Canis lupus familiaris: one gene and its partners. The protein of the gene in region 3 purifies or fractionates together with the protein of the main gene of each other region. This does not show direct contact. Links are inferred from orthologs where the notes say so. Each region holds a gene or a part of one and is shown on either strand. Other genes may lie near its edges.

Region 1 (3,482 bases), on a different chromosome or scaffold from region 3:
TGGGATTCCACAGCCTCCAGGGCCCCACTCCTGCCCCCTACATACCCCCCCGCCCCCCCCCCCCCCCACACACACACAAAGCTGCAGTTGCCAGCTCCAAACTTCACCGGAGAACAGCTCTCTTCCTCTCTTTCTCTCTTACTGGATTTTGCAAACCGGATTTATGCAGAGTGAGGAGTTATATGTCCTCAGGAATAGGAGACCAGGCAGTGAATTTGTCCCACGGGCCATGACTCTCTGGACTGCGAATCAGGGCTGTCCCAGGGCTATGGCAGGGGGTCACTGCCAGCTGTCAGCCGGTTACCTTTGGGTGGGAAGAGAGAGGCTTCTACACCTTGGTCTGGAGGTATCTCCAGCCCTAGGTATCTCTAGATCTATAGATCCCCAGGGCCCATAGCTCTGCCCAGCCTCTTCTTGTCCATAATTCTTCCCCAAGAAGATGGAATGGTTAGTTACTCCTCCAAAGGAGGATTGTAAAAGGGCTGTTATTTCATGTCTCATCCGTCCAACCCAAGGCAGTTCATTTCCCCTGGAGTCCACTTGGCGTTCAGCGGGTTCCCAGGTGAACTGAAATCCACAGCTATTCTCATCTGGTTGCCCTGGGAGTTTTGGCGCTGTCGGTACAACCTGTTCCTTCAGCCTCTCATTCCCCCCCCTCCCTCCCCCCACCTCCAGGCTGCTCCCTTCTCCGCCACACCCCCCCCCCCCAGTCGCCCCAGGCCCCAGCCGTGCCCTCCCTCCGGGGAGACACCCGCTGCTGGAGACCCAGGAGGGGACGCGGGGGAAGGAGGAGGGGAGGGGACGGGGCGGGGTAGGGAAGAGGCGGGAGAGCCGCGCTGGGTGGAGGCCGAGGCCGAGCGCCGCCCCGCAGCCAGAGAGGGGCGGCTGAAGGTTGCATCTGCTGGAAGGAGGCTTTTGGCTGCCTGGTAACGGGCTGCCGGAACGGAGAGCGGAGAGCGAGGCAGCGAGCAGGGCAGCAGCTTCCTGACGTCAGGGCCGAGCCCGGGGATCGCGCCAGCAGCCCCAGCCCGCCCCGCAGGGAGGCCGGCCGACGGCTGGAGAAGAGCCTGAGCCACGCAAGGCGCCCAGCCGGGCGCGAGCGGGGGCTCGGACGCCGGTCAGTGGGGGCGCAGCATGCCCCCTGCCCCCCGGCCATGGAGCTCGCCCTGGTGCCCCTGGAGAACGGCGGGGCCATGACCGTCAGGGGAGGAGGTGAGGCCCGGGCAGGCTGTGGCCAGGCCGTAGGGGGGGAGCTCCAGTGCCCCCCGACGGCTGCGCGCGGCGCCGGCCCCAAGGAGCGGGAGCCCAGGGAGCGCGGCCCGCCGAGGGGAGCGGACCCCGGAGCGCGGCCTCTGCCAGCGCTGCCTCTGCCTCGACGGCTGCCCCCGGAGGACGAGGAGGGAGACGGCGACCCCGCCCTGGGCCTGGCGGAGGACCAGGTGCCGGGCCCGGGCTCGGGGTCCTTTCACCACCAGCGCGTCCTCATCAACATCTCCGGGCTGCGCTTCGAGACGCAGCTGGGCACCCTGGCGCAGTTCCCCGACACCCTCCTGGGGGACCCGGCCAAGCGCCTGCGCTACTTCGACCCCCTGCGGAACGAGTACTTCTTCGACCGCAACCGGCCCAGCTTCGACGGCATCCTCTACTACTACCAGTCCGGGGGCCGCCTGCGGAGGCCGGTCAACGTCTCGCTGGACGTGTTCGCCGATGAGATCCGCTTCTACCAGCTGGGGGACGAGGCCCTGGAGCGCTTCCGCGAGGACGAGGGCTTCATCAAGGAGGAGGAGAAGCCGCTGCCCCGCAACGAGTTCCAGCGACAGGTGTGGCTTATCTTCGAGTACCCGGAAAGCTCCGGGTCCGCCAGGGCCATCGCGATCGTCTCGGTCTTGGTCATTCTCATCTCCATCATCACCTTCTGCTTGGAGACCTTGCCCGAGTTCCGGGACGAGCGCGAGCTGCTGCGCCATCCCCCGGGGCCCCCCCACCCCCCTGGGCCCGCCCGGGGGACCAACGGCAGCGCGGCCCTGGCGCCCGCCTCGGGCCCCACGGTGGCGCCTCTCCTGCCGCGGACCCTGGCTGACCCCTTCTTCATCGTAGAGACCACGTGCGTCATCTGGTTCACCTTCGAGCTGCTCGTGCGCTTCTTCGCCTGCCCCAGCAAGGCGGAGTTCTCTCGGAACATCATGAACATCATTGACGTGGTGGCCATCTTCCCCTACTTCATCACCCTGGGCACCGAGCTGGCCGAGCAACAGCCAGGCGGGGGAGGGGGTGGCCAGAATGGGCAGCAGGCCATGTCCCTGGCCATCCTCAGAGTGATCCGCCTGGTCCGGGTGTTCCGCATCTTCAAGCTCTCCCGCCACTCCAAGGGGCTGCAGATCCTGGGCAAGACCTTGCAGGCCTCCATGAGGGAGCTGGGCCTGCTCATCTTCTTCCTCTTCATCGGGGTCATCCTCTTCTCCAGTGCCGTCTACTTCGCAGAGGCTGACAACCAGGAGACCCACTTTTCCAGCATCCCGGACGCCTTCTGGTGGGCAGTCGTCACAATGACCACGGTAGGCTATGGGGACATGAGGCCTGTCACTGTGGGGGGCAAGATCGTGGGCTCGCTGTGTGCCATCGCCGGGGTCCTCACCATCGCCCTGCCTGTGCCCGTCATTGTCTCCAACTTCAACTACTTCTACCACCGGGAGACGGACCACGAGGAGCAGGCCGCTCTGAAGGAAGAGCAGGGCAGCCAGAGCCAGGGGACAGGGCTGGACAGCGGAGGCCCTCGGAAGACCAGCTGGAGCAAGGGGTCCCTGTGCAAGGCTGGAGTGTCCCTGGAGAATGCAGACGGAGCCCGAAGGGGCAGCTGCCCCCTGGAGAAGTGTAACCTCAAGGCCAAAAGCAATGTGGACTTGCGGCGATCCCTCTATGCCCTCTGCCTGGACACGAGTCGGGAAACGGATTTGTAAGGGGGAGCCCCGGCAGAGTGGTGGTAGTGGGGTGGGGATAGCAGAGACCTCCTGAGCCGGGGTACTGACTTTATACCACGGAGTATTTCAAGCCCACCTTGAAGTCTGTCCCTCTTTAGACTTCTCTCCTTCCCTCCCTCCCTTGATCCCCCATTTTTCCTCTTCTTTCCATGACACCAAGGGTCGCCTATTTTTAAAAAGTACCACATTCCATGACGCAGGAGCTGTTGAAATGGTGAGCACTACGAAATGGATGTATTTGTAGCCAGTTCCCTATACCCAGCAGAGGGATAACCCAAACAAAAAATGACTTTAAATAGCCAAGATCCCAAGGGATTTTGTAACCCCCTCCATGTGTTCCAAATTTGCTTTACATATGATTTTATTTGTGTATAGGGGAAAATATTATTTTTATGGCTGGTGAGTGGATTTTTGTACTGTAGTTCAGATGGAGATATTTTGGATACATTTTCCAGAAATGCTGTATTTATGGAAGAGGGAGTTATTGTGATGTTTTTCTGTGAT
Region 2 (3,647 bases), on a different chromosome or scaffold from region 3:
TTTCTTGGGCATATGGTGAATATTCCAAGACTAACAATATTATATACACATCTTTTTAGCTGATCATTCTGGCTAGTGGTGGACCTCAAGCTTTAGTAAATATAATGAGGACCTACACTTACGAGAAACTCCTGTGGACCACAAGCAGAGTATTGAAGGTGCTGTCTGTCTGCTCTAGTAATAAACCAGCTATTGTAGAAGCAGGTAAGTATTCTGAGTGTCATGTGTATAGCATATTATAGTTCTAATTAGATTACTTGTCTTAGGAAAAGGGTAATACAACTTGACCTTAATGGGCTGAAACTGAATAGAACCAGTTTGCAGCCAAGATCACATTCAAAATATATGTGCTACTTGACACCTTGCATTGGTGCTGTTTAAGCCTCATTTAGATAGAGTTCTTGTTAGCCATCAAAAATGATGGCTGATTACTTGGCACTCTATGTTATGTGCGTGTTAGTAGCAGAGGAAAGGAATAGGTGGACCAACCAGGGCCTTTTGTTTTTTTATCATAAAGATAGTTACTCTTTAGCTACCTAGCATCAGTTCTTTCTTAACCCACTTAATAGTATTTACCTGGACTCTGAAACCAAGTTTCATATCAAAATTGGAAGAGGAGAAATATGAAAGCATTTATTAGAAGAAAATACTGGGAATAAAGTGTAGGGTTGGTAACACCTATTTTTCTCACTTGTCTAGAGTAATTTGAGAATTTGTGGGAGAGAGGGGCATTATGATTACCCAGGATAGCAGCTGGCACTGAGACAGACAGGTGTGGCTGCATTCATATTCAATAAGGGGATGAAATTCTGCCAGCTATTCCAGAAATACGAGGAGTGCTTGCAGAAAAATGCAGAGTTTTGGATTTAATTGGAATCCTTGGAGTGAAGTGATAACGTCAGTAGATAGCTGGAAATGTGTATGGGACTGGGGACCTAGGTGTCTCCATTTTAAGAAGTTAGCTAGGTTATTCTGCTGTTCATTTGTGTGTTCTGAAGATATTCAGCACCTGTGTTTCAAGCACTGGAATAAGCACGTGGTCTGCATTGGCTAACCAAGCAGATAGGGCCCCTGCATTTATTCTTCCATTCTGTGAGAGTGACAAAAATATGTAAAAGATGGGGGCATTACAACCAAGAATGAATTCTGTAGGGGAGAAAGGAACAGCAAATATGGATACAGAATTAACAGGGAGGGAGGAAGGAGGGAGCTTCCCTGAGAAAGGGATGTACAGTGGGATTGCTGGATGAGAAAACACTTGTTAGTTATATGAGAAGTGGGGATTAGATGCCTTCCAGGCAGAGAAAAACATGTGCTGTGTCCTAAAGGTAAGAAAGAGCCTGTTGATCTCTAAGTGCTAAAGAGGAAGAGTGTGTAACTAGAATTTAATGAGTAATGAGTGAGTAGCCCAGAATGAGGTTGATGGGCTAGGCAAGGACCATATTTGCAGGACTTTCTAGGCCTGTAAGATGTTCATTCCTGCCGTATTTCAGCTTTAGAACCACAGATGTAGAATATTTAGTTCAGTTTGTAGTGTCAGGTGGGATCCAAATTCTAAAGGGTTCCTTAATGTTACGCTAAAGAATGTGGCCTTTGTTTTATAGAAGATGAGAAGTTACTAAATGGAACTACCAGGATAGGTTGGTTAATATTTGGAACAAGGTAATTTAAGATGTGAAAATATTCAGAGTGACTATAAAATGCAGGGGAAGACTAGGCTAGAAATTTGGGAGTTGACCTGTCAGTGTAGGTGGAAAGGGGGTGTGTGCCCCAGAGGCATCTGCACAGGACTCTTATCTTAACCTTAGGCCTGCTGAATCACTGTGTGTTTTCAAAGTCTATGGGCTATTCTGATAAGCAGTTTGGGGTTGAGATCATCCACCCTGTTAGAGTGAATAGTAAAGGGAGGGAATGAAATCTGTGAGGGGAAAGAAGGTTGAGGGGAATCTAGTCATTTAACGAATGTTGAGCATTAGCCTTATGCAGGTCCCTGTGTTAGTAGCTGGAGGTGCTATGAGGAAGGAACCAGATAGGGATGATCCTTGTCTTGTAGAAGAGGTGACTTAATTTTAAAACAGACTGAAAAGGGGTACTTGACTGGCTCAGTTGGTAGAGCATGTGACTCTTCATCTCCAGGTTCATGAGTTCAAGCCCCACGTTGTCTGTGGAGCCTACTTAAGATTAAAATAATAATAAGATAAAAAATAAAACAGACCTGAAAAGATGAACAGGGAGACAAGGAAAGTATCTCACTACATTCAGAAGTGATTTCGTAGGAGAGAGATGGGTGAAGTTAACCCATTATGTGGGGAATTAAGCTTCCATTTAGACTTCTCAATCAATATAAAGGTCTTTTCTTAGGGTCCTAAACCTTCCTGACATGTGTTTTAGAGTCAGCATCTTTCATGTAATCCTTGGTAATAAGTGTTCCCATGCCTTGTTGAGTTGGTCTTACATAGTTTCCTCAGGTCTTTGCTGCTTTGCTCAGATGTCACTGAGGTGCCCTCATTACACTACTTGAAATTGTAGCCCCCACCCTCTTGTGTTGTTTTTTTTTCCATAGCACTTAACATCATCTGGCATACTATGGAGTTTCAGTTTATTAACTGTATTTGTTTATTGTCTGCCTCCAGCTAGACTGTGAGCTCCACGAGAGTAGGGACCTTAGAATATTTTGCCCATTGGTACAGCTCCAACTCAAAACAGGGCCTGGTATTGGTCAGTATTTTTGGGATGATTGAATGGATGAAAGGAAATAATACGAATATTACCTAAGGAGGACAGTGGAGATAACAGAGGCTTTTTCCACATAGGGAGGAACAGTACTCGATAAGTTGTCACTAGTTGAGGTGAATTAGAAAAGAAAGGGAAACTGAGCAACAGCCTAACAAATGAAATAAAGGACTTAGATGGAGGGGGTAAACTTTGGCAGTAACAAGGGACATTCTCTAAGACTAGAGAAGACAGTGCTGATAGGACTTGCCAGCTAACGGCCATCACCTTAGATCTTTTTTCATATCTTAGGTGGAATGCAGGCTTTAGGGCTTCACCTGACAGATCCAAGTCAACGTCTTGTTCAGAATTGTCTTTGGACTCTAAGGAATCTATCAGATGCTGCAACTAAACAGGTAAATTTTGAGTATGCCAGTGCCTTGGTGATAGAATTAAGATGAATATGTACTGAGCATTTGTTTTTATGTCCATAGGAAGGGATGGAAGGTCTTCTTGGGACTCTTGTTCAGCTTCTGGGCTCAGATGATATAAATGTGGTCACGTGTGCAGCTGGAATTCTTTCTAATCTCACTTGCAATAATTATAAGAACAAGATGATGGTCTGCCAAGTGGGTGGTATAGAGGCTCTTGTGCGTACTGTCCTTCGTGCTGGTGACAGGGAGGACATTACTGAGCCTGCCATCTGTGCTCTTCGTCATCTGACCAGCCGACACCAGGAAGCAGAGATGGCCCAGAATGCTGTTCGCCTTCACTATGGACTGCCAGTTGTGGTTAAACTCCTGCACCCACCATCCCATTGGCCTCTAATAAAGGTAAACTGTCAATCAAAAATAGGTTGCAGAATTGAAAATGATCCACCTCTAGCTATTGGATGGCTGTCTAGGCATAAGGGATTAGCAAGTACGAATCCTATT
Region 3 (3,747 bases):
ATTAATGAGAGACACAGAGAGAGAGAAAAGCAGAGGCACAGGCAGAGGGAGAAGCAGGCTCCATGCAGGGAGCCTGATGCAGGGCTTGATCCTGGGTCTCCAGGGTCAGGCCCTGGGCTGAAGGCGGCGCTAAACCGCTGAGCCACCCGGGCCGCCCCTCTAGTTCTCCTTCTGATTGCATATGGAGCCACAGGCCAAAAGACAGTGAACTTCTTGACTTCTCCATAGCCCAGATGTAAAACTACTGCTTATTGTTCCATTCACCTTAGGCGTACGCTTTATAAAAAGATAGCAGCCGCACATTCAGGAATAGAGAAAACATTTGCAAATAACTGCTAACGATTTGTTAAACTTCAGATCGGTTCCTAGAAGAACCGGGTCTCCTCTAACGCACGGGCAAGTGCATTAGAAAAAAAAAAAAAATAGAAAAAAAAATTAGAAAAAGTGCAAAGAAAAAGTCCTCTATGACAAACTTGAAGCTCCCACTAAATATTCCTACAACTGTAAATATTTTTACGTCTTTTGGAAATGTGGCACAACGTGTGGGCATAAGTTTCCAGAAAGTTCCAGAAAGATGGGCGAAGCCTGCCATTCTCGTTTGCTTCAGAGGGTTGGGGGGCAGGGCAGGGGGGGCTTTCAGAAGCGGCGGGGAAACTGGAGTTCCGCGTGTCTGTGTGTCCTGTCCGGGGCCGCCAGGTGTGAGCCGGCGCGTCGCCACCTGCACCGCGCGCGCACGTGTGCTTGCTCGCCGTCGGGGGCGCATCGTGCCCAAAAGTCCTGCGCCCTTTTTCGTCCCTTTCCTCCCGGTGACAGTGGGGGAGAGCTGGGCGGGCGGGGATGGGGGCGGGGAGGCGGCTTCTCCGCGGGCAGATGCGCGGGGAGGAGCGCGGGGAGGAGCGCGACGCCCCGCGCCAACCCCGCGCCCCCGCAGGACGCCGCCGCGAGCCCCCCGGGGACGTGCGCCCCAGGTCTAGGCCACCCCCGCGGGGCGCTCCCCGCGCGCTCCCCGCCCCGCGCCGCCGAACCCCGGGGATGTGCCCGGACCCGGCGCGCAGGTCCCGGCCGGGCGCTCGCGGCAAGCCCCGGGCCCGCGGCCAGCAGGCTCCCTCCCAGCCGCCGCCCCCCGCCTGCGCCTCCCCGCCCCCCCCCCCCCCCCCCCTGCACAATACAAGATCTTCCTTCCTCGGTTCCCTTGAATAACAGCCCAGGGAAACCTCGGAGCCTTCACCCAGCCACCGGCCAGCATGTCTGGGGGCAAATACGTAGACTCCGAGGTAGGCTCGCGGGGTGCGCGCGGGGAGCCCCCGGGGCGCCCCCACCCCCACCCCACCCCCACCCCACCCCCCGCGGTCGGCCGCCGGGCGCTCCCCCGGCGCGGGCACCTCCGAGGAATGGGCCTGGGCGGGGAGCTGAAGAGGGGGCAGGAATGTCGTCCAGGCTGCTCTTCGGAAAGGGGGGCCGGCGGGCCCTAAACCAGAGGGAGGCTGAAAGTGGGGGCGGGGGGCGCCCCGGGGTCCCGAGATGGGGACCAGAGCACGCTCCTGGGTCGTGGGCGGGCCCGGGGCGCTGCTTTAGGTCGGGACCCGCACGGCCCAGCCCCTGCGCGCTGGGGGGCTGCGATCGGGGACGCGGGGTGCGCCGCCATCCCCCCGCGATCCGGGGGACCGTCCCCGCCGCTCCGCCAGGCGCCTGGACCGGCTGGCACCGCCCGAAGCCCTCGGGCCGCCTCAAGAACCCTTCCAGCATCGCGGCGCCCGGCGGGGTGTTTGCAGAGGGGGGACCTGCCCTCCCCTCCCCTCCCCTCCTGTCCCTGCCCGCCCTCCCCTCCCAGTGCCACCCCTCGTCCGCGCGGGGATCTCGCTCCCCAAACTCGCCCTCCGCCCCGCGCCCCGCCGGCGGCCTAGGAGGGACCTGCGGGAGGTCGGGGAGGTCGGGGGCGCCGGGCAGGTGCGAGGTCGCGGTTCGGGGCGGTCTGCAGGGGGGCGGGGGGCGCTGCTCCCGACACGGGCGCTTTCGGGACGCTGAGCCCCGCGGGGGCGGGGGGCGCGGAGAGTGCGGCGAGCCAGCAGGTGTCGGGGAGGTGCGGCAGAAAGGGGCAGAAAGGGGGCCCCTCCGGGGGGTCCCGGGGGCTCCAGCGGGCCCGAGGGAGACGCCGGAGAGCTTCTGGAGAGCAGGGTGGGGGAGGGGCGCCCCGCAGCCGGGGACGGGTCCCCGCGGTCGCTGGGGGGCGCGCGGGGCGGGCGCGGGCGGGGGCGGCGCGGGTGCGCGCTGACCCCTGGCGGCGGGCGGCGGAGGCCGGGGCTCCCCGCGGGCACCGAGGGGTGTGGTGTCCTCGCCTCCATCCTCTTAAGCGCCGGCGGCGCCCGAGCGGCCAGTTGGCGGGCGACCTCCAGGGCCGCCGCACCGCTCGTTTTCCTTTTTGACATTTCCTTTTTGACATTTCCTTTTTCTGGCATTGCCTTTTTTGACATTTTCTTCCCATCTCCGCCCCCCCCTCCCGCACCCCGCCGTCCCCCCCCCACCCCGCGCAGGGGCACCTCTACACCGTTCCCATCCGGGAGCAGGGCAACATCTACAAGCCCAACAACAAGGCCATGGCGGAGGAGATGAGCGAGAAGCAGGTGTACGACGCGCACACCAAGGAAATCGACCTGGTCAACCGCGACCCCAAGCATCTCAACGACGACGTGGTCAAGGTAGGGGAGGCGGCCCCGCCCGCCCCGGGGCGCTCCGAGCATCCTCCGCTACCTGGGCCCGCGCGCGCTGCCTCCTGCGCTTGAGGACGCGGGGCCCCGCAGTCCCCCCACCTTGCCCTCCCCCATCACCCCGCCGGCTAGTTCGGCTGGAATCTCGCTGACTGCCCTCCTCCTAGAACCCCACTTCTCCCCGGCCAACACACCTCCAGATCTCCGCGACAGGTTGGCCCGCGCTCCTTGGGCGAGTGAGGCGCTTGGCCCTGCGGGGCACCCTCTTGCCTGTTCCCAGGCTTAAACTCTAGCGAAGGGGGGCGCCCTATTGCACCTAGAATTAAAGCAAGTAAGGTCACTGTGTAAGTTCTTTGTGGCTCGATGATCTATGGGATACCGAGTGGGCAGGTTGTCCCAGCTCAAATCAGGGTAACCTCAAGTTATTTTCTTAACTATAATAAGGTGGGTAAAAATGCTTCAGATTGATATATTATATATCACATATATGGAGAGAGAGCATCTTAACTGGAGGGGGAAAAAGTGGTACTCGTGCACGACCAAGCTAATTTCCACAACCAAAAATAATGAGCGCCTCTGGATTTCTCCCATAGACACCCCTAGCTAGGTATATAAAGTCACTTCTTTAGTGACTGCCTGGGTCAGGCTTCCCCGAGTTAATGAGACACTCAGGCTGGAGTTCCTTTTTATATTTTCAGAATGTGTTTGGTGATTTTTTTAAAAAAAAATAATAAGGCATCTGAATGAGCTATTGGCCAAACTTAGATTTGAGTCAGTGATCAATTTTTGATTATCATTATATTATTCAACTTTGACCCTCTTAGCAAATTAAGTCAGGGAAATTTATTGTCCGAATCCATCTGGATTGGGAAATCATGGGCTTGAGCCATTCTTGGCAGAGGGTTTTCTTTGAGGAGTGGGGAGGGCCAAGGAAAATCCTGGCCTGGAAGATTATAGCGTGAAGACCCAGTTCTGCACAACTCCAGAACAGCCAATGGGGCAGATGAGCAATTTCCACCTACCCAGTCTCCTATCTGGGGCT

The links.
Region 1: the proteins of CAV1 (region 3) and KCNA5 purify together in Homo sapiens (affinity purification with western blotting, with the first as the bait; 3 studies listed by BioGRID). This does not show direct contact. The link is inferred for Canis lupus familiaris from reciprocal best matches to the Homo sapiens genes CAV1 and KCNA5.
Region 2: the proteins of CAV1 (region 3) and CTNNB1 purify together in Homo sapiens (affinity purification with western blotting; 3 studies listed by BioGRID and IntAct, with this or other methods). This does not show direct contact. The link is inferred for Canis lupus familiaris from reciprocal best matches to the Homo sapiens genes CAV1 and CTNNB1.

Annotation. Positions count from the first base shown.
Region 1 is NC_049248.1:6,280,307-6,283,788, forward strand, and holds KCNA5 (potassium voltage-gated channel subfamily A member 5), read left to right. Parts: upstream 1-1,154; coding exon 1,155-2,957; downstream 2,958-3,482. UniProt on the Homo sapiens protein: Voltage-gated potassium channel that mediates transmembrane potassium transport in excitable membranes. Forms tetrameric potassium-selective channels through which potassium ions pass in accordance with their electrochemical gradient.
Region 2 is NC_049244.1:10,793,279-10,796,925, forward strand, and holds part of CTNNB1 (catenin beta-1), read left to right. Parts: intron 1-59; coding exon 60-204; intron 205-3,024; coding exon 3,025-3,128; intron 3,129-3,206; coding exon 3,207-3,545; intron 3,546-3,647. UniProt on the Homo sapiens protein: Key downstream component of the canonical Wnt signaling pathway.
Region 3 is NC_049235.1:55,589,284-55,593,030, forward strand, and holds the start of CAV1 (caveolin-1), read left to right. Parts: upstream 1-1,244; coding exon 1,245-1,274; intron 1,275-2,531; coding exon 2,532-2,696; intron 2,697-3,747. UniProt on the Homo sapiens protein: May act as a scaffolding protein within caveolar membranes. Forms a stable heterooligomeric complex with CAV2 that targets to lipid rafts and drives caveolae formation. Mediates the recruitment of CAVIN proteins (CAVIN1/2/3/4) to the caveolae.